Schizosaccharomyces pombe: one gene and its partners. Changing the gene in region 4 together with the main gene of any one other region gives a genetic interaction. Each region holds a gene or a part of one and is shown on either strand. Other genes may lie near its edges. The genes, in order: scw1, cdc14, ace2 and sid1.

Region 1 (4,076 bases), on a different chromosome or scaffold from region 4:
AAATATTTTCTTTTCATTGTTTTTACGGAAATTCTCATTTTTTCATCTTAGGGGCTCGTTGACTCAGCCTGCACGACAAGGAAAATTATATCCGTTTCGGAAGCACAACGTGTGTGTTGAAAGTCTTACTTTTCTTTTTTATTTTTCTGTACCCTTTCATTGAACTTTAGCCATTTGTTGCTTTGTTGAATTTTGGCCATAAATAGTTTTTCAACTGGGTTTTTATTCGACCTCCTTTCATTATTCATTTCATTTTCATATCTATCCATTTCTATCCCCACTAAACAATTTTGTGTTTTTAGGATTTCCCTATTCTCAATCCATAAAATAGTCACGATTCGTTTTCATTCAGATACCCGGCTCCTTATTTTTTTTTTTTTCGAAATTTTATTCACTCGTTTGATTTCGTTGATTCATTTCTTCCGCCTTTTACTCATTACTTAAGGGTATTTGCTTATTAAACGTTTGGTCTTTTTTTTTGCCCATCTTTTTGTTCATACAAAGTTTTGTGACATTTATATAATATTTAGTCTCTTCGTTTTTGTGTGGGTTACCTTTTTTGTTTTATTCTTTTTCTTTTTTTTTTCTCTTTCTTCCCTCTTTGTTTTTTCTTCTGACCCTATTTTATGCCTTATTATTATTTTGATCAAGTTTCAATCATTTTTTCACAAAGATTTCATATTCACTTTACTTCTTAGTTTTTTTCTTTTTATTTGAAATTTCTTGGAATCTTTTTGCCTTTTTTCTTTTAACTTGATCTCTCTTATTTAACGTTACTTAGAAAAGCTTCTTTTATTTTGCTTTTCCTTTCATTCTTCGCTCCTTTATAAACCGTGTTCATACTTCTTTTGCTTACGTTTTGCCAATCTTCCCAGCAATTTTACTTCTATCTTGATTGTTCTTGTTGTTGGATATTTACTCTTTGTTGATAGCGGTATATTTTATTTGCTTCTCACTTTTTGCCCGATTGCTTTCCTTTGATTTACCTCTCCAAAAAAAAACAAGTGTCTTTTGTTTACTTGTTTGTATATTTGTTTATACTCTGCTGATTGAAAAGTTGATTGTTTATTTTATTTTTCCATCTGCAACCATTTCTTTTTTTTTGAAAAAAAAAAAATCGCTAACTGATTTTTTTAAGCATTTCGAATACCTTCGAAGTCTTTTTATCGATACTTTTGACGATTTCTTCCTCATAAGCCTTGCCCTAGACTTTTTGTTAGCTCGGTATTTTTGCATATTTCAGTCATCTTTTTTTCATTTTCAGTTTGTGTTTTTTGCTTCACAGTTGTATCTGTCTCTCTTTTAGCAACTAGAATTATTTGTGGTGGTCAACAGTTTACCCTTTGCTCTCGTTTTCTTGAAGTTACAGTCTTTCTTTTATTATCTTCGTCCAGTATTCTAGGTTGTTGCCCTTCTAATTCTTTCGCGTCAAGTATTTGGATTTTTCTAATACTTGCTAACAATTTTTACTGAATTTTTTATTTTTCTTCATTGCCCTTGCTTATTTTTATTACTTACACACTTTCTTTTTAGTCGACCAACTAGGTTTCTAACTTTTTACTCCACTTATTAACTATTTCGTGTTATTAAGCTTGAAGCCTCATTTATTATCGTTTGGGGTTTATTTAACAACTACTGCTATTTCATTTGTGTTTTACTTTTAGGCATCTATTGCTTATTTTGGTTACTTTATCAACCACTTTGTCATTCTTTTTTCTCTTCTTTTCAATTACCATTATATATAATTTGCAAAATGTTTGTGGGATCACCGAGCGCTATTGAAAAGCCTTTATCGTTATCCAGTAAGACCAAAGTCGGGGACGAAACCGAGTTTACTGAAGATGCGCTACGTGGTTCATCGTTGGTTCCAACCGGTATTCTGAATGGAGATGATGAATGTCATGCTCTTCACATGTCTCCTCAGGCTATTCACAGCCAAGCTGGGAAAGCTGAATCTGACGGTTTACCTACTTATGCATCTGTGGAAAAATCCACAACTCCGATTGGTAGACTCCTCTCTAACCTCAACGGTGGATTAGCCTCTGCTCCTCCTAAGGTTGGATTCGGTTTTCCTAGATATTATGCTTTGCGGATTGAGGATTTACCTAGGGACTTAACACCCAGAGAGTTTTTATGTACCTTTTTATTCGCTACGAATGTAGTATCCGTCGAGCTTAATCCTGTATCCGTGGATAATGAAGTTGCTCATGGATTGGCGGTGTTTTCATCCCGAGATGCTGCTGCATCTGCTAGAGACACTTTGCTATCTAGCGATGTTTATTCCGCGTGCAGCATGATAATTTTAGACAATTATCGAAAGGGAAGTCAAACAAATCTTAGCGACGAAACTGAGGGCTCTGAGAGTAGTGTTTCATTTAACAGACTGTCTCGAAACCATTCTCCAACTCGTCCACTGTTAGGAAATCGTGATCTTTTCCGCAGGTCAAGTAATCATGTGTCAGCCAGTATGCCTACTGCAAATCATTCGGAATCTGCTTATCGTCATTCAAAAACACCTTTGGGTGATAGCACTTTTCAGGCTCCTAACAATGGAGGTAGTTTGCATTCCGATAGGTTGTGGTCTTCTTTCCCTGTTTCTTATCCTTTAACACTCGCGAATGTGTTAGCCAAGGATGAAGTTGGTTCACCTACGTGGTCACCCACTCCTTCCAAAAGTAGTACCAATTTGCGTCAAGACGGTGTTCCTCCGATTTTGCGATTTAACTCATTATCTATTAACACCAACGTGGCGCGCAATTACCTTTCATCTGAAAAGGGTTATAGCGCTCATACCCAAAATTCTAGTGCTCAATCACCCCATCCTCGTGTCTTTTCGGCAAACAGTGCATTCAGTACAACAAGCCCTCCTCCCTTGACACCATCAACATCAAGAGACTACCCATTTTCAGCTTCTACCATTTCACCTTCCACACCATTTTCGGCTTATTCCTCCAGTCATGGAATTCATCAACGCATCCCTGCTTCTACCCCCACGAATACCAACCCTGCTGATCAAAATCCTCCTTGTAACACCATTTATGTTGGAAATCTTCCTCCTTCTACTTCCGAGGAAGAGTTGAAAGTTTTGTTTTCCACTCAAGTTGGATACAAAAGACTTTGTTTCCGCACTAAAGGCAATGGCCCCATGTGTTTTGTTGAATTTGAAAACATTCCATACGCCATGGAAGCCTTGAAGAATTTACAAGGTGTTTGTCTTAGCAGTAGCATTAAAGGTGGTATTCGTTTGAGTTTTTCGAAGAACCCATTGGGAGTGCGCTCATCAAGTTCATCGCATAACAACCATAATGGAAACGTTCGTAACCTTCACTCTGGTTCCATGAATAATTACAATACAGACTCTTTGCTTAATCATACTGGTGGACATAACGAAGTCCACGCCAGTCCCAGTTGGGGTAATAATCTAATGTATGGCAAATAGCTCATCTAGCATTTTCTCGTCTTCATTTTATCATTATTCATCAATACCTTGCAAGGACTTTAGGTCCAAATTTTTTAAGCATATTGTTTCTCTTTTTTTTTTTTTGAGTTTTGCATATTGATTCTTTGTTAATCAAAAGTTGCGATCTATTCCACTTTGACTGCATGCAACTTTAACCATCTGTTAAGCTTAATTACAATTTGTCGATTTATGCGATCTGTTTTATTTCACTCTTATATAAGATGGGTACTTGCATTGTTTAGTTGTCATTAGGATTTATCATTTGCTCATCATTTCCATATACTTCTGCTACACATATCAATTTACATAATAATATCGACTTTTGCTTCTAAATGAACCCATCTTAAATTGCTAAACAAGTACTGTAACAACTTGGTTAGATGTATTTTTATTGTAACACCCAACTTAAGCTTACATACAAGAATTTTTAGGATACATTGATAAGCAAACACTTAATCCTTTTATAAATATTAGTATAGTCTAGGTGAATAAAATATTTCCAACAAAAACTGTATAATAGTAATCCCGTCCTTTCCCTATTAAGTTGAAATTGATTTACTTTTTTTAAAATTGCGAGGAACTTTAGGCATGCTTCGTCCTTTTCACAGGCGGCTGT
Region 2 (4,994 bases), on a different chromosome or scaffold from region 4:
TCAGGTGGAAATGACATTAAAGTTTTGCTCTTAGGCGCCGGTGATAGTGGGAAAACGACCATTATGAAGCAGATGAGATTATTGTATAGCCCCGGTTTTAGTCAAGTAGTTAGAAAGCAGTATCGAGTGATGATTTTTGAAAATATCATCTCCTCTCTATGTCTTCTTCTTGAAGCTATGGATAATAGTAATGTCTCTTTACTTCCGGAAAATGAGAAGTATCGGGCAGTTATCCTAAGAAAACACACTTCTCAACCCAATGAGCCATTTTCTCCAGAAATATATGAAGCTGTTCATGCCTTGACATTGGATACCAAACTTCGTACGGTGCAAAGTTGTGGTACCAACCTCTCTTTGTTAGACAATTTTTATTACTATCAAGATCACATTGATCGAATTTTTGACCCACAATATATACCTTCTGATCAAGATATCCTTCACTGTCGTATCAAGACGACCGGTATATCAGAAGAAACATTTCTGTTAAATCGTCATCATTACCGATTTTTTGATGTAGGAGGACAGAGATCAGAGCGCAGAAAATGGATTCATTGCTTTGAAAATGTCACTGCATTGTTGTTTCTCGTTTCTTTGGCAGGTTACGATCAATGCCTTGTAGAGGACAATTCAGGAAATCAGATGCAGGAGGCGTTATTATTATGGGATTCCATATGTAACTCTAGCTGGTTTTCAGAATCAGCAATGATACTTTTTCTAAATAAACTTGATTTATTTAAAAGAAAGGTTCACATTTCCCCCATCCAGAAGCATTTTCCTGATTACCAAGAAGTTGGTTCAACACCAACATTCGTACAAACTCAATGCCCTCTTGCCGACAACGCAGTTCGAAGCGGTATGTATTACTTTTACTTAAAGTTTGAAAGTCTTAATCGCATCGCTTCTCGTAGTTGCTATTGCCATTTTACCACAGCTACAGACACTAGTTTGCTCCAAAGGGTAATGGTATCCGTTCAAGATACGATTATGTCCAACAATCTACAGTCACTTATGTTTTAGATGAATTTTTCCTTAACTATCTTCATAATCTTTTCTGTCTCATTTCTCTACTTTCATTCGCACTCTAGGAAAAGCCTCTATACTTTTCCGTGAATGGTGTCTCTAGTTAATTTCCTTGCATTTTGTATGCACTTCATGTGTTATTTCTCCATCGAAACTGTTAATTAGTGCATTCTAATTGTTTTATTTCATAGCTTCTTCGAAGCTTCGTGTAATCTTATATTGTTTTAAATAGCTCAAAATTAACTGCAGTTTTTGTTATTTGATAATTTTACGATTAATACATAACTATTGTTTAATTTAATATCTAAATTTTTTCATGTCAACCGTTTGAGACAAACTAAACCCATTGATATTAATATAATTAAATTAGGCGGATTTGATCGTAAACTAAATATAAATCTATAAGGACTCGATGTTGCTTGTTTTGTTATTTTAGGCCCCTTTTTCAAATATGGCTCCAATTCGCCTGTTAATATTCAATTGTATCCTATCTTAGCAAGCTGGTGTTTTCTCTCCCAAAACCTCAAGTTTTAGAAAATAGCAATTTAATGTAGCTGCTTCAACACTCCACCCTACTATTTATATCATTACTAAGAACGAATATAGAGTCTCTTTTTTATCTTTAACTAAACGAAGATTCAATTTACTTTTATTTATAATAAGGATTTTTATTGCCCGCTTGGCATGAGTAAATAATGATCCGGTATGGAAGATCTATTAAACAATGCTAAACAGCATTTGTGTATGAGGAATCCAAAGCTAATTCGAATTGGTTTGCGTCAAGTCGAATCTATTGTATATCATGTTGCGAAACCTAGTCATGATGATAAAATTCCAAGAGAAATTTTCCTAAAATTACAGGATTCACCATTGTATAATTCTACTACCCCTTGCATTTACGCTTTGGACAGTCTCCTTGAATATCAGCAGAATGAAGAGGCATACGAAAAAAACTTTCAATTCATTCAAAAGCTAATTGATGACTTACTGCATGTGATTGAAGGATTGGTTTTAATCCATCCAAAATCACAGACGTTATTTGAAGATAAAGCTACCTTAAGGTTATTTATTCATTTATTACAGCCATCTCAGCCATCTATGTTGCAAGTGGCTGCAATGAAAACGCTTGTATGTATCATGGCAGATCGTCCACTGGCTATTAGGCTTTTTGAGCAGATTAATGGCTTGCAGCAGATATGCGTAGTTTTTAAGCACAAACAAACAAGTCAGGACACCCGATTTCAAATTCTCGAATTTTTCTATTTCTATTTATCCCCTGAACCATATTCTATAGATGTCATTGCCTACAGGAAAACGCGGACTGAGAAACAAGCTTACCTATCCAAATATCTTTCTAACGTACAAGGGCTTCGAGATGATTTAGATAAGTTTCAACCATTTGGCAAGTTAGACGAAACATTCGACTAGTTAGATGCAATGCCTGGTGCAAAAAAATGTTTAAAGTCTCATTGTTAACTTATTTTTGAAAATTTAGTATTCATTTACTAAAGAATTTCTAATGTTAATGTTAAATTATTAATCGATCATCTTACTATTGAAAGTATTCCAGCATCCTATAGCATTTGTAAAAAGTCAACCAGTTTTACTTTCATACTACTAAGAGATCCCAAACCTCCAGAATCCAGCTAAACGAACTGTGAAGACCGACAAAGATTCCGTCCCAACATGTGATATCAACTAAACTGCGTCCCTCCCCAATATCGTCTCGACGACGCAAAAAACTGAAAGAAGGAAGTCTTTGTGTGTGGGCCAAAGATGACACATTTGCACCGATACTAGAGGATATCTCATACGAAGGAGCAGTTCCTATATTTGAAGAACCCGATAACGAAGAAATGTTAAAACTGGGGGATGCAAACGTTCCATTGCTAGAGGAGGCTGTTGTTTTTGAACGGGAGGAGGAGTAGTCATTCTTTGTATTGAAAGAAGAAATCCTTAGAAACTGGACTATATGAAGAAACTTTTCAGAAATAAAACTATATCGCAAAATCAAATCTAACTGATTTGGACAAGTAGCAATAATCGCATATCTTCGAAGTCCTCCCCGGGCAGAGGGATCTCTTAAAGAAAAAGACTGACTAATAACGTAACCGTTATCTTGGTCTCCAAAGAACAAAGGATTTGACATAGAATCGGAAGCTTCAGATAGTGTTGAATATTCACAGCTCAAGCAGCGAACCATTAATCGCTTAAGGGTAGAATATCGTTGCTGAGTATGTGGATGTTGACTAGACATGTATAAAACATCGGGGTTTGTACTTGAGTTTGTATAAAGTCGTGGTTGAACATCAGGTACAGAGAATTCAAGGGGTAAAACAGTACTACATGTAACACAAGATGATTTTCTCGAAATAGGGCTTTGATTTCGAGAGTATGAGTTATGAAATGAGTTTACTCGGGGGGATTCTGGTCCTTTCGATACCTTTTTACATAAATAATCTTCAGAATCAGCTTTGAAAAGTGATTCGGTAGAACTTTGTAAAGATTGAGAATCGGCATTGTTTCGATTATCGAGTTCATTTTTGAAGGCTTCTGGTGAATCATTACCATTCTCCGTTACGCCAATAGAGCGCTTAGATGTAGGATGCTCAAAAAATTTTGAAACGGTAGAGCGATGCAATTTTTGAGTGCAAAAAATAATGGAAGGCCCCTCGGCCTCACAGAAATGTCCAAGAGCAAAAACAACATCCATTATGACTATTATGGAAATTTGGTGAGATAAAAGTGTTTAGTTGACAAAGGCGATCTGAAAGCAAATGTTTAGAAAGCGACAATGAACTTGAAAAGTTTTGATGGTGTATAATAGCTTCTAAATAATGCCTTCAAATCTAATGATTAATAAGGTGATACGTTTTAAAGTCGATAAAATGTAAGATGTGCATTCGTTCGAAAACAACCTTTTGTACTTTACCGATTTACCAAGCAAACATTCAGTTATACTGAGGTATTTCGAAAAGATTGAGGATTAGAAAAAAAATGGATTAAAGAGCTTGAAACGCTCCAGATACTGAAATTGATATGAAAATTCCTGATAAATTAGAGGATATATGTGTGCGTCTTCATCTCACACAGTACCAAAATATAATAAACACACTAGAATCTGTCCAGTTTACATTAAAAGAATTAAAAAAAAAGTTTTTCTGTTTGGAAAAAGCGGTTGATTTTCTCACTTCAAGGAATAGAATGTTCAGAAGTTTATACCAAGTTCCACATTTCCGATATTGTAGGGGAATGCTGAAGAGTCGCAAATGAGGGAATTTACGAAAAGCTAGTAATTAAGAAACTTCAAAAATGAAAACGACCTTCATAGAAAACAAGTAAAAATGCGAGTGCGTTGAGAGGGGGAGGAAGAGGTTAAAAACTGACGAGCTACAAAAAAGCGTAAGGTATCAATTAGTGCCTCTACTGTTTCGATTACTAAATACAGCCACAAACTATTGATAGTAATGTATATAAGAATTGGTATATTAAATCGTGTAAAACACAATTGCAATATGCGCGCGACCGGGCAAATCCAAGTCAGCTAGCTACCTAAGTGATACCACCAACCAATGTTTGGGTACACCCCAACACTACAAGATATGCTAACGTTTTAATTAACACAAAAACAGATGTAATTTTATTTAAATTCTGTAGAATTATCATTATATAAACAAAAAGAATGCACCATTTCTATCTATAATGTGGAAGTCTTATTTTTAAAGACAGGAGCAGCATAAATTTCAGGAGGATCATCCTTGTTTTCCATAATATAATTTTCAATCTCTTCGAGCTTCCAAGCATATTTGGCACACAACATGTTACAATTAACGGCCACGGTAGGATTGTGTAAAGCATGTTGCAAAGCCATTCTTGCAACATGATAACGAGAGGTATTGTTACACATCATCATATTAAAAGGAGTGGTAGTAGTACCTTCCTCTCGATAGCCCTCCATAGTGACCCGTGTACCT
Region 3 (4,258 bases), 1.3 Mb from region 4:
TGTATATTTGTATTCAAATGTTTTGCCTTATTTCTCTAAGGTGGTTTCTAGGCTGAAAAAGAATTGACAGAGGTTTTGAGCTGATTTTCATTGTCAAATAGTATTCACTTTATTTTTATCTTATGCTTAATTACTAAAGTATTTCGTTTATTAAGCAATGAGATTTTGCATTTGTTAATTTGATACAGCAATAATTCGCTTCTTAAATGAAGACAAAAAGTGTTAATTTATGGTATTAGGATAGAGTTGACCTAAATATGCTTTTATAAAGAAAGCTTGGCCAAAGAATTGTCTACATTTTATTGCCGTTTCGAAATACCGATGACAGAGGTGATACAGCTTCTAAACAAAATTAAACAATTTTAAACATAATAAAGAACCAAAGGAAAAAAAAGGAATCGATCAATCTCATGCCTTAATGCTGGTACAAGTTTCTTCTGAAGAATCATTCTTATAAATATTACAAATTCTTTACCGTAATACGAGAGAATACGTTATGCAGATTTAAGCATTTTAGAGAATTCTTATTTTATGAAGCACGGTACCGCAAAAGAATTTCTAGCAAGTTTGCAAGCTACAACAAACTGTCTCTCTACTCAATTATACAATTGCCATTGACTTGGCAAACTCCTCTCTACGAGTATTTAAAAGATGGAAATCGACGACATTTTTGCTTCTAAAAAGGCAAACCCTGCAAATGAAAAGTCAAATGACTCAAAGTCGGAGGCGAAAGCCCCTAAGAAAGGAGCCAAGACAAAATCTACTCCAAGTCGTCCAAAACCTACTAATAACCAAGACGATTTATTTTTAGATCCAAAGGGAGCCTCAGGAAGTAAGACACTTTTTGCCGTTTGATAGTTCATCCTTACATACGTTCTCGCTACTTGGTTAATGATTGCATTCGTTCATGTTTGGCATCCGCGTTGTTTGTCAATTCTTTGACCTCAAATTCATATTTATTGTCTAAAAGATTGAGAAACTTCGAACTGTGCTATATACTTATTTATTTATTATATACTGCTAGAGCTAGATTACGTTTTTCTAGGGAGATACATTTCACAATGATGTTTAGTGTTGGTGGAGACTCCAAATCATTAAGCTCTATTGTGTGGTATTGAACCTTATTCGCTATTCTGTTTACGGGAATGTTTGCCGAACGATGCAATACTTACCTAGCAACGGCACTTTTCTCCTTATCATCAGTAATTGTATTAACGTTTTGTGTTTTAGGAAAGCGTACCGAGGAAGGGTTTCTTGTATATGACGAGGAGGAATTAAACATTGGCCAAGGTGGAGGTACACCGGATTGCCCTTTTGATTGTCAGTGTTGTAAGTAACTTATTCATTGCATTTAAAAACTTTTCCATGGCATTTTTTCTCTTGCTAGCTCTATACTAATACTAATACCTTAAGGTTTTTGATCTCAACGTCGTTGTCGTTTTTTCAGGTTGGTTACCGTTTTTTTTTGGCTTGTCATACTTAATCTATGTTTTCTAATATCATCCATGATCCAGTTGTTGAAGCGTAGACATTTTCATAGCCGTGATTATCCTGTTTATTAGTGGTAGTGTCTTTCAATCAAACCTTTTACTGGTTTAATTCAAAAAATAGTTGATTTGTCCCTTTGGCAACAAAAGGTAAATAAACAATCCCTGGGTCTGTGTTTACACTTGTATTGCGTTGTTGTGATATGGTTCGGTAATCCATGCAATGTAAACAAATAGTGACTTGTTTTGCGGTAAAGTGAAGCATAAAATTCAACAATTGTCGTCATAGCAACGGAGTAGCTATTTGATATAAACAAATAGCCAGCGCACCAAACATTGCTGTAACAAACAAAAAAAAATCGAAGAGTGATTAGTTCAATCATCTACTGGGTTAGACTGGCTTTGAGCCACACTTTCATCTCACTTCAAGTTATCAAGCACTCTTTTCAAGAGTCATTTCTCTCATCGTTCTCTCCTTGATTTCTCTACGCATTGCACTAGATACTCGCTATCCTAAGTAAACAAGACAATGTCGCTTTCATATTTATCATCTTCTTCGCAAAAGTCGTTTGAATCATTTCGACAAGAAGAGAGTCCAGCTTGTAATCATTCGTACCAAAGGGATTATGAAACTTTTGGCGATAGCAAGCATACTTCTTTTTCCTCCTTCGCTCCCTTTGAAAATGAGGTGTCTTTAAATCAAGCTGTTATCCCTTCACCGCCTTCTCATCTTCAGAACTTTCAAGATCAGTTTGACTATAGTTCTGTTCTAAAAACACCGTTTAACCCTTTGTTGGAAGCGAATTCTGCATACTTTTTATCGAACCAAATATCGCTCCCCGACTCTCACTCGTATGCATCCTCCTTTGATGCTTCCTTATCACCCCCTTCCTCGCCTTTAACTTGCGTATCACAAATCCATACCGAGCAAAATTTTAATAACAATGACGCATTTTCCTTGACCAACTCTCAACAGGCCTTTTCCGAAATTGGTTATGATGCATCAAATTGGATTGATGAGCTGGACTCTCAACAACAAGTCCTTTCGTTTCCTGAGTTTGACATACCAGAAATAAAGACGGAAACTTGCTCCAACAAAGATCACCTCGAAAATTTCGACTACCTTTCCTCAAGTATACCTGAAACCTCGGGTCCTGCCTCTTCCGTTCTTCCCAGCTCTTCGCAATTGGAATCATTTAATGAGTTTATGTTCCTCCCATCCTCTCCCCCTGGATTAGATGAGATAAACGGTGCGCCTTCATTTGAAGAATTGAACTTTCAAATATCCCAACCAAGTCCGGCACATCCTGTAGACTTATCGAGTCCAGAGACTGCACCTAATATCTCCCCTGTATCCCCATTTGCCCAACTTGTAAAGCTAGAGCCCACTTCGCCTCAAAAGCCCTCCTTTGCTCTAGATTCTTCGTTTTCCCATTTGGATGTATGCAGGCATACTGACAACCAGAAAGCGTTTGCAAAGTTATCATCACCTGCTGAATACGTTTCTGAATTTGAAAAATTCTCATCCGTTTGCGATCATGGACTTGACATATCGAACGCAAATATCAACAACACTTTGACACAGCAGTTTGCATTAAGTGCACCTTATGAATCTTGCATAGTTACCAAGAAACCTGAACCTTGTATCACTGTCAAGGAAGAAGAACAATTAGCTCCAAAAATTGAATCTGCTGATTTATCAATTACTCCTCAAGTCACCGAGCATGATTCCAAACCTCCGGTCAGAATTTCATACGATCATAGATGCAAAACTCGCAAGCAATCAACTAGGATTTGTAGAATTCCTCCGGAGACAATGGCTAGCTTATATTGCGGCCCTGAAGCAGATGGAAAGTACGTCTGTTTGTACAACGGGTGCAATAAACGTATTGCTCGCAAATATAATGTTGAATCGCATATTCAAACACATCTGAGCGACCGTCCGTATCGCTGTGACTTATGCAAAGCTGGCTTTGTTCGTCACCACGATCTTAAGCGTCATCTGAGGATTCACGAAAATGGCAGGCCATATGTATGTGAATGCTTAAAGAGATTTAACCGACTTGATGCCTTAAATCGGCATAAGCAGAGAAATATATGTGTTGGCGGCGTAGATCGCAGACAGCACTAATGATGACAGCTGTACAACTTGCATCGCATTGCATTATAATGAGTTATGTTTGGTTTTTTTTTGGGATTTTTTAATTTTACTAATATTATTGTTTTTAATTTGCTTTTATATAAATTCAAATTCAAGCATCGTACATGAACTAATGCTGTGACAATTTTGATAATTTATCAACTTGTATCTGTCTTTTGTATATTTATTCATCACCCTAGTATTGTGTATAACTCTGCATCATCTAAAATCTACAGATTAATCTTTGTGAAATGGAAATACAACTATGAAGTTGTTCGTATCGTTGAACGGCTGAAATGGTAAAACTAGTTTCCCCAAACCTGACAAACAACTTGGATACATGAGTAAGAATTAGTGTTTGCTTTCACTCGCACCGATGTTTAGTCAACATATGTTTAAGTTGGTATTTCTAGGGAAAACTTGTATTTAATTACTATAGTATGCGAAGTATTTCATTGGAAAACAGTGGTTGTAGTATGCTGCCAAGCAAGCATTTATTATGATAATAATAATTCAACAAATTAATCACTATGACTTAAACAGAGAAACCAATGATTGTTTTAACTATTATTGCTGGTCATTGGAGGAAATTTTGTCGGCAAGAGAAAAGATAATTCATTTCTATTTGCAA
Region 4 (7,568 bases):
TCATCGAATTTAGCTTCTGCTTCCGTTGATGATGTAAGTGAAGAGTCTCAAGTTGAGCCAAATACTCTAATTTTTCAGAATTTTAGTTCACCTTCTACTTCATTGTCAGCTCCTAAAGACACTCCGGCTGTTATTCAATCGATCAATACTTCGTTTCTTAATAATGAGAGAGCAGGGCGTGGAAATATAAAAACAGTTGACCAAAATCAACTAATTAATAGAATTGTTGATAAGCTTCCGGATCTTAGTTATCTTGTCGATTGAAAATCTTAATGATCAAAAGGTAAACGTACTAATTTTAATCACATAATGGCTAGAGGAGTTATTGTTATATCTATGCCCAAATGAATATTAACTTTATTGTGAACAAATGTTAACTTAAATAAATCAATTCTAAAAAGATGTAAGAGGAATTGCATCTTCAAACAACGTGTTGTGAATATACAAATGTTTACTAATAGATTGAACGAATGTATACCATTCTCTAGGGGATGAAGGCATGTCAGTTTTATCATCACGATTCCAACATGTGAGGTGAAATGGTTTAAATGTTTTACGTAATCGCGATTCTTCATATTCGCTGCATGAACAATGCAATCGCTTTTCAAACAAATACACTGGAACATGAAATGGATGATTGGGCAAAGTTATGGATAGCGGTAGAGTACCTCCAAAGGAAAATATCCCTCCAAGCTGGTATTTAGTAGACAATTTATAACAACTATATAAAGCAACCATAGCTCCTTGACCAAACCCGAAAAAAAATATTCTAGAAGATAATATACCGTAAGAGAGTAGATTGCCAATTAAATTTGAAATCATCGTAAAACTTTTAGAGAAATCGGCTTCAGATTGCAGTTCCCCGTTTTGATCAAAATGGACATCCTCTCCCCACATCCAATTGCCTCCAGGATTTTCAAAATCTAATGGTAATCGATATGGTCCACGTAAGGAAATATAACTAGTGTTGGGCAACGGAACGTTCTTTGCCATATTTGCAAAACTCTTGTGAGAATCTCCAAGTCCATGCATTAAAATAACTACATTGTGAACCTTGTCTTTCCCTTCAATAATCTCTGCGCATGCATTTGAAGGTAGAACACTGTTTAAAGAAGACATTAGATAAAAGAAATACTAAACCCCGAGGTCAACTATTGAGATTAAACTTCTTGCCATTAACTTGGTTCTGTGTCAACAGTTTGTTCCTGAGCCATACGTATTTCCCGAATTATTTGAGCTATTGCTTCTGGGTGTACGTTGTTTTCACAAAGACTGATGCAGAGTGAAAGCGTTGTTTTATCAAGTTCAGTTCCAAGCAATGTTCCTATTTCGTATAAAACTTCTATTGTCTCTTTGGTAGATTCAGACATAAAACTCGATACTTTATAATAAACTAGTCTAATTATATATACTTCGTAACAAGTTGGTAATGTTAAGTTTACTGGAATAGGCGTCTCGGAGTAGCTCATTATAATCCTCTAAGTAATAAACAAAGTACTTCGTGGTGCATCTAGCTTGTGCTTGTAAAACGAAACCGAAAGTAGGCTCAACCTCAGATTTGAGCAGTCAAAATATTGATGAAATGTATCCTCTCAATGCTAATTCTTATACTCTGCTACGGAAATTAGGATCAGGTTCATTTGGGGTTGTCTGGAAAGCACGTGAAAATGTGTCTGGCGACATTATCGCTATTAAACAGGTAAGACTAATTAATTTTTACTCTTCTTTAGTATCACAAAAAACTTACAGTTGCAGATTGATTTAGAAACAGGTATTGACGACATTACCGACATCGAACAAGAGGTATTTATGTTATCGAATTGCAACAGTTCCAATGTAATTCAGTATTACGGTTGTTTTGTTGACGGATACACATTATGGATTTTGATGGAGCATATGGATGGAGGATCAGTTTCGGGACTTTTGAAAATGGGAAGGTTGAATGAACAAGTAATTTCAATCATTCTTCGAGAGGTCCTTTATGGGCTAAATTATCTTCATGGACAAAACAAAATCCACAGAGATATCAAAGCCGCCAATATACTACTATCTTCCTCTACCGGAAACGTAAAGCTTGCTGACTTTGGAGTTGCCGCTCAACTTTCGAACGCTGCTTCGCGTAGACACACGTTTGTTGGAACGCCATTTTGGATGGCACCGGAAGTAATACAACAAACAAGTTATGGTTTAGCTGCTGACATTTGGTCTCTTGGAATTACGGCTATTGAAATGGCTAACGGAATTCCGCCCCGCGCTACAATGCATCCAATGCGTGTCATCTTTGAAATTCCTCAATCCGAGCCTCCAAAGCTAGATGATCATTTCAGTCCAACATTCCGTGATTTTGTGTCCTGCTGCTTAGATCTCAATCCTAATATGCGATGGTCAGCTAAAGAACTCCTTCAACACCCATTCATCAAAAGCGCAGGAACTGTGAAAGACATTATTCCTTTGCTTGTTCAGAAGGAGAATAAATTATTTGATGATTCGGATCAAAGTGTATTGGAAGAAACCATAAATAATACTTTAAAGCCCTTTGAAGAACCAATTGCTGAAGGAAATGCTGACATTGAGGATTGGACATTTGAAACTGTAAAGAAATCTGACTCAACTGTGTTAGGGAATACTAGCATTCCTAAAAATTCCATCATCAGTTCACAAAATAAAGAGGAATTGCCTTCATCAATAAAATATTTAGAGAAAACTATAATGAGTGATCAAGCGACACCGCATCCTTTTTCCAAGTCATTGTCTGAAAAAGGTAGCTCTTATCATAAATCGTTGACTTCCGATTTTGCTATGAAACATTATATTAAGTCCACCATACGATCGATGTTATTAAATGATAAATTGTCAGCAACGCAGCGCTCATCTTTAGAATCTTTTTATACATCTTTCATTTCTTTAGATAAAAATCTGTCCTCAAAATTTGTTAACCAAATTACTCCAGACAACAGACTGCATCACAAAAAGCAAAAGCGGAGCCCCATATCACAACTACTATTTTCACGGTGGCTTGAAGAAACTGAGAAAAGAAGAAGTCTAAATGGATAGCTTACTAAAAACTCGTAAACAACCTGTTTACAGCATTCACAATTTTGTATTTAAATGAACTTATAATGGCATATTCTACTATAATTTAATCTACATAATATATATAAACACATCCAAACGAGAACTATTCGAAATCAACTTGACACTTGCTTTAAAGCATTTTGTACATTCCAGTTATTTCCAGACAAATATTGTTCAGCCGTTTGATAAGACACAGAAGTATAATTCATGACATAGGTTATTCTGGTTGGTTAGCAAAATTCTCCAAAAAAAAACATACTTAGCCTTTCTCTTAAATTCATCAGCATACTCAATCCACTTTCGTTTGACCACGTCCCATGTGGACCCCTGAGATTGCGCATTTACCATCTTCGCTTTGGAATGTATTAAAGCAGATACTGGTCGGTGATCTGATGCCTTCAGTTCGTACCTGGTATAGTTTTCTGCAGAGATGTAGTCGGGACTTCCACGATAACAGATACGATCACACCAGGCAGGCACACGCTTTTTTTCACTACTGTCGTACTGCTCACTATGAACGTCGTACTTGTAAGTTGGGGCAAACGTGATTTCTGGTTCAGTAAATGTTCTCAGACGAAATCCGGCATTTCTTTTTCGCTCAACAAGAAGCTGATCGCTTTGGAGCAAAGTTTTTATGTCGTTTTTTTTAATTAAATCTAAAGCTTTAGGTCTCAATGTGTTGATTCTATAATTTAAATCACCATGCAAAACACAAACTTCGTGATCCATAATTAAAGAGCCATCGCCACCACCAACGAATGTATTCAATTGATCAGTTTCATCATTTTCAGGAAAAAGAGAAGCATTGTCTAAAATTGTTGCCAAATCATTATTTCTGGCTGCTTTATTGGATTGACCAGCAGCCAAATGACAGTTTACTATGCAATATGAAGTATCATCTACCAGAAAGCGAACGACTATTGCACCTTTGTTACCATGCAAACCACCTAGTCCCGTTTTTACAGTTGTCGATTGTAACATCCGAATTTTGCTTTGTAACTTATTTTTTACAAAAACACATGAGAAAAGACCAACCAAATTTTCACATACCAAAACCTGATAATCATCGTTTGAGCTTACCCGCATCATTTCAGATTCTAATTTTTCACGCCATAAACGATACTGACTGGAAATATTAGCACTGTTAGACGAACCACCTTTGGAGCTCGACTTTGAAAGGATGCTTCTAGCTGTGAGTCTTTTATTCTCCAAATCAACTAGCTCTTGAAAACCAAACACAACTATATCTGGGTATCCATTGTCTCGAATCATCATTGGAATCATACTAGCTCCAATAGTATCACTATCTAGATCAGATGGCTTTGAAGCTCCGGCATTCCAGGAACAAATAAGTATAGACACGTCAGTAAAATTACTATATTCTGGGAAGCGGCTTCGCATTTCGGTAGCTAACCAGTCACCCATCATTAAACCATCCCAAAACTTGACAACTGAAGAAGCCATACTAACAACTTGGAGCCTTTTAGCTTTCCATACGCTATTCACATCAATACCAAGTATAGTGGTAGCTCCATTGTGACTTGCTTTATGACCATGCCAACTTTTTAAGAGGCGCCAAGGACTCTCAGAAACATCAAATACGTAAATCATGCCTGTCGTGTAGGCTGCCCAAAGTGTATTTCCAACACCAACTAGTGAACAAATTCTATAGAATGAACTGCTAGTAATTAGCTCCAAAAAACGGTATTGGGTTTTCGAAAAGATGGATATTTTTCCATCAACGTGACCATAGAAGACCAAATCCGTAAAGTTTGAAATAGTAGTGCCACAAGAGATATCACCTATCAAACCAGGTGGAGTCATGGGCTTCGCCAAAACACTTGCCGACTCATTTTCTGAAGTTGAAGGATCATATACATAAATTGATTTCCCAACAACAACCCATAAAAGCCGATTATCTAAAACCATAGCATGAGTGGCATGAGGAATGGTGCGAATACTATGTGGAGTAGACTGTATACTTAAACCCATAATTTCATCTTCCTGCCATACATACAGTTTTCCCATATCGTCCAACGTCCACATTTCATTTTTATAGACCATAACGTAAGTAATAGGACAATTGGAAACAGACTTCTTAGTAACGATATGATGATTTTGAACATCGACTTCCCATAACATCCCATCTCTCGTTCCAAACCAAACAAATCTGCCATCGTCAGAGTAATTCTCCGGGGATGATTTAAATGATAAGGACGTTACCTTCGTATCCCCTAGAGGCATATGCCAATGACAAAGACCAGTAACGGTGTCATAAACACGAAGTCCTCCGTTTCCAGCTAAAACAAGGCGATCACCACTAACATCAAAGATTCTAGCTTCAAAATCTACGTTAATTGATTCAACACCGTTAACAAAACAGGGCGGGTTCCTCCTAACGCTAGAAGTATCTGGTATGCTTCCTTTTAAAACAACATCTAATTGCGATGACGAAGAGGAACTAGCAGCAACAGAAGGATCACTTTGCTCAGTAGAAACAGGCATAGAGACAGGTTTGTTAGTAGCTAAGGATTTCACCCTCGGTGGTGGTGGAGGAAACAAAGGGGATGGTTTAGAAGATAAGTTTTCAGATGTTAAAGCTGGACTAGACAGTTCTGATAAAGTGTGACTAGGACGGGGAGGTAATCTGGGTTTCTCAGGTATTAAAGACATCTCTGATGCAGGAGCAATATGAGTGTAGGGAGACGACTGTAAACCAGTAACAAGACTGGCGTCACTTTTAGTAGCCAAATTCTCTATTGGGGAAGAAGAGCGCTGGGTAGAAACTTTACGCAGCGGTGGTTTTGGGGGCTTTCGGGGAGATACATGAAGCGGTAATTGTTGAGATATTACCGCACGCGATTGCTGTATAGCCTCAACAGCAACTGGCTGTGGAGGTCTTGGAGAGGGAATTGGAGGAGGAGTTTCCAAAGACCTGTCTCCAATGTTCAAAACAGGAGGCGCCGTCGATATGGGACACTCCTTTCCAAAGGTCTGGCTAAATGGATCATGCAAATCAAAGGAGGGCACACTTTTACTAGAATTGATAACGTTTTCTTCTTCTTCTTCAGAAGACAGAACCGAAGAGGCTTCGGAGTGAGTTGGAGACTGAGAAATATATGCCTTAACATTTTTTAATGGAGATACAGATATCGGGCTTGAAGAACCTGCTTTCGAAGAAAAATTGGGTTTAGGGGGTGGTATTTGATGATTATTGGTATCATCGTGTTTCATTAGATCATTTCCTTTGGTAGATTGTACAGATGATTGAAAAGAAATTTCAGGCCCTTTTTGTTGAGGTCGCTTAAGTAATGGAGAAACAGAAACAAATGAATTAGATATAGTAGGAGAAGATGGAGTAGCTACGTGAGATTCAGAAGAATCACTAGGTAGACGATCTATTTTTGAAACATCAGCGTGGGGGTTTGAAGGATTTTTAAAATTAGAAGCTAGCCTTTGAATTGAACCACTAACTTTTCGTCCAGTCGAACTTCCTATAGTCGATGAGACTTGCCTCGGCGGTGGAATAGGTCTTGCTTTAAAAACGTTTGGCTCAGAAGTGCCATTTTTACAACCTTTTACAGTTCTTCTTTTAGCAGTTTTTTCGTCCAAATTAGTTAGGTCACCGGTACTCAATGACTCGAACTTTGATTTCAATGATAAAACCGAAGGGGGCAACTCGGGTTCATCTTCATTCACATTGCTGAAGCCTTGGCGAGAGGCCATGTTCCATGATTACGACAATCTTATGCTTTAAATCAATTTTTTAAATAAATCACCTTTTTTAAATACTTCTAAAATCTATTAGGTGCTGTTTGGACCTTTTGCGCTTTTCAGCTAATTGTTGGAAAAAGACAACCAAGACACTGCGTGGGCTGACCTATTATGAAATAAACAAAGCCTCGTGCACTCAAACACACGCATCAACAATACTCCAAATAATCATTTTTACAGAAAACAAAAGGGAAGATGATGTAGAAATTCGCATAATACAAATTAGGAATTCCAAAAAACTATCAAATATTTTTTAGGCATTTGTATTGCTTAACTAAATAGTTTACTTCACATTTATAGAAACAATTTTGAAAGCCATTCTCAAGGCAATGAAAGATCATATTGTCATGTAGCTAAATATTTGTAACATATTATTAAGCATTGACTATAAACACACATTGCACAATTTTATTTCAGAAAGACACAAAACGAGAAATTTTAAGTACTTATGCAAGAAATTTTATAAGATACAGAAAATTTATTCGATATCAAAATTATATAAAAATTGAGCAACTTATGAAAGCATATGTACTATACGTTGAATAAAACCACAATAAAAGAGTGTATAAAGGCATAGAAAAAATAAAATAAAATCATATAGTTAATTGATTGTCTAAAGAATGTAATTTATACGGGAGGCAAGATAGACGTTTGACATTATGTATTAGAAATGAAGGACCATAAAAGATGATAGTATGGTTCACTAGCAAACAAACCCA

Evidence for each region.
Region 1: of sid1 (region 4) and scw1, a mutation in one rescues a mutant of the other (synthetic rescue), as found in Schizosaccharomyces pombe (2 studies listed by BioGRID).
Region 2: mutations in sid1 (region 4) and cdc14 are lethal when combined (synthetic lethality), as found in Schizosaccharomyces pombe (one study listed by BioGRID).
Region 3: of sid1 (region 4) and ace2, a mutation in one rescues a mutant of the other (synthetic rescue), as found in Schizosaccharomyces pombe (one study listed by BioGRID).

Annotation. Positions count from the first base shown.
Region 1 is NC_003421.2:671,723-675,798, forward strand, and holds scw1 (RNA-binding protein Scw1), read left to right. Parts: upstream 1-1,753; coding exon 1,754-3,439; 3' UTR 3,440-3,529; downstream 3,530-4,076. Other genes in the region: p21-activated protein kinase inhibitor Skb15, read right to left, coding at 4,043-4,076.
Region 2 is NC_003423.3:2,330,545-2,335,538, forward strand, and holds cdc14 (SIN component Cdc14), read left to right. Parts: upstream 1-1,581; 5' UTR 1,582-1,725; coding exon 1,726-2,448; 3' UTR 2,449-2,629; coding exon of another isoform or gene 2,630-3,733; 3' UTR 3,734-4,485; downstream 4,486-4,994. Other genes in the region: gpa1 (G-protein alpha subunit), read left to right, coding at 1-1,017; folliculin bhd1, read right to left, coding at 2,630-3,733; SPOM_SPBC24C6.09C (phosphoketolase family protein), read right to left, coding at 4,718-4,994. UniProt on the Schizosaccharomyces pombe protein: Has a role in the septation initiation network (SIN) required for cytokinesis.
Region 3 is NC_003424.3:3,238,726-3,242,983, reverse strand, and holds ace2 (DNA-binding transcription factor Ace2), read left to right. Parts: upstream 1-1,830; 5' UTR 1,831-2,016; coding exon 2,017-3,618; 3' UTR 3,619-3,752; downstream 3,753-4,258. Other genes in the region: SPOM_SPAC6G9.01C (uncharacterized protein), read left to right, coding at 652-832, 1,231-1,329, 1,414-1,421. UniProt on the Schizosaccharomyces pombe protein: Regulates the transcription of genes required for cell separation.
Region 4 is NC_003424.3:1,984,175-1,991,742, forward strand, and holds sid1 (PAK-like GC kinase Sid1), read left to right. Parts: upstream 1-1,523; 5' UTR 1,524-1,582; coding exon 1,583-1,699; intron 1,700-1,755; coding exon 1,756-3,054; 3' UTR 3,055-3,188; coding exon of another isoform or gene 3,189-3,297; 3' UTR 3,298-3,334; coding exon of another isoform or gene 3,335-6,801; 3' UTR 6,802-7,060; downstream 7,061-7,568. Other genes in the region: SPOM_SPAC9G1.07 (Schizosaccharomyces specific protein), read left to right, coding at 1-33, 79-264; SPOM_SPAC9G1.08C (phospholipase), read right to left, coding at 394-1,119; putative mitotic spindle organizing protein Mzt1, read right to left, coding at 1,176-1,370; inp53 (inositol polyphosphate phosphatase), read right to left, coding at 3,189-3,297, 3,335-6,801. UniProt on the Schizosaccharomyces pombe protein: Has a role in the septation initiation network (SIN) required for cytokinesis.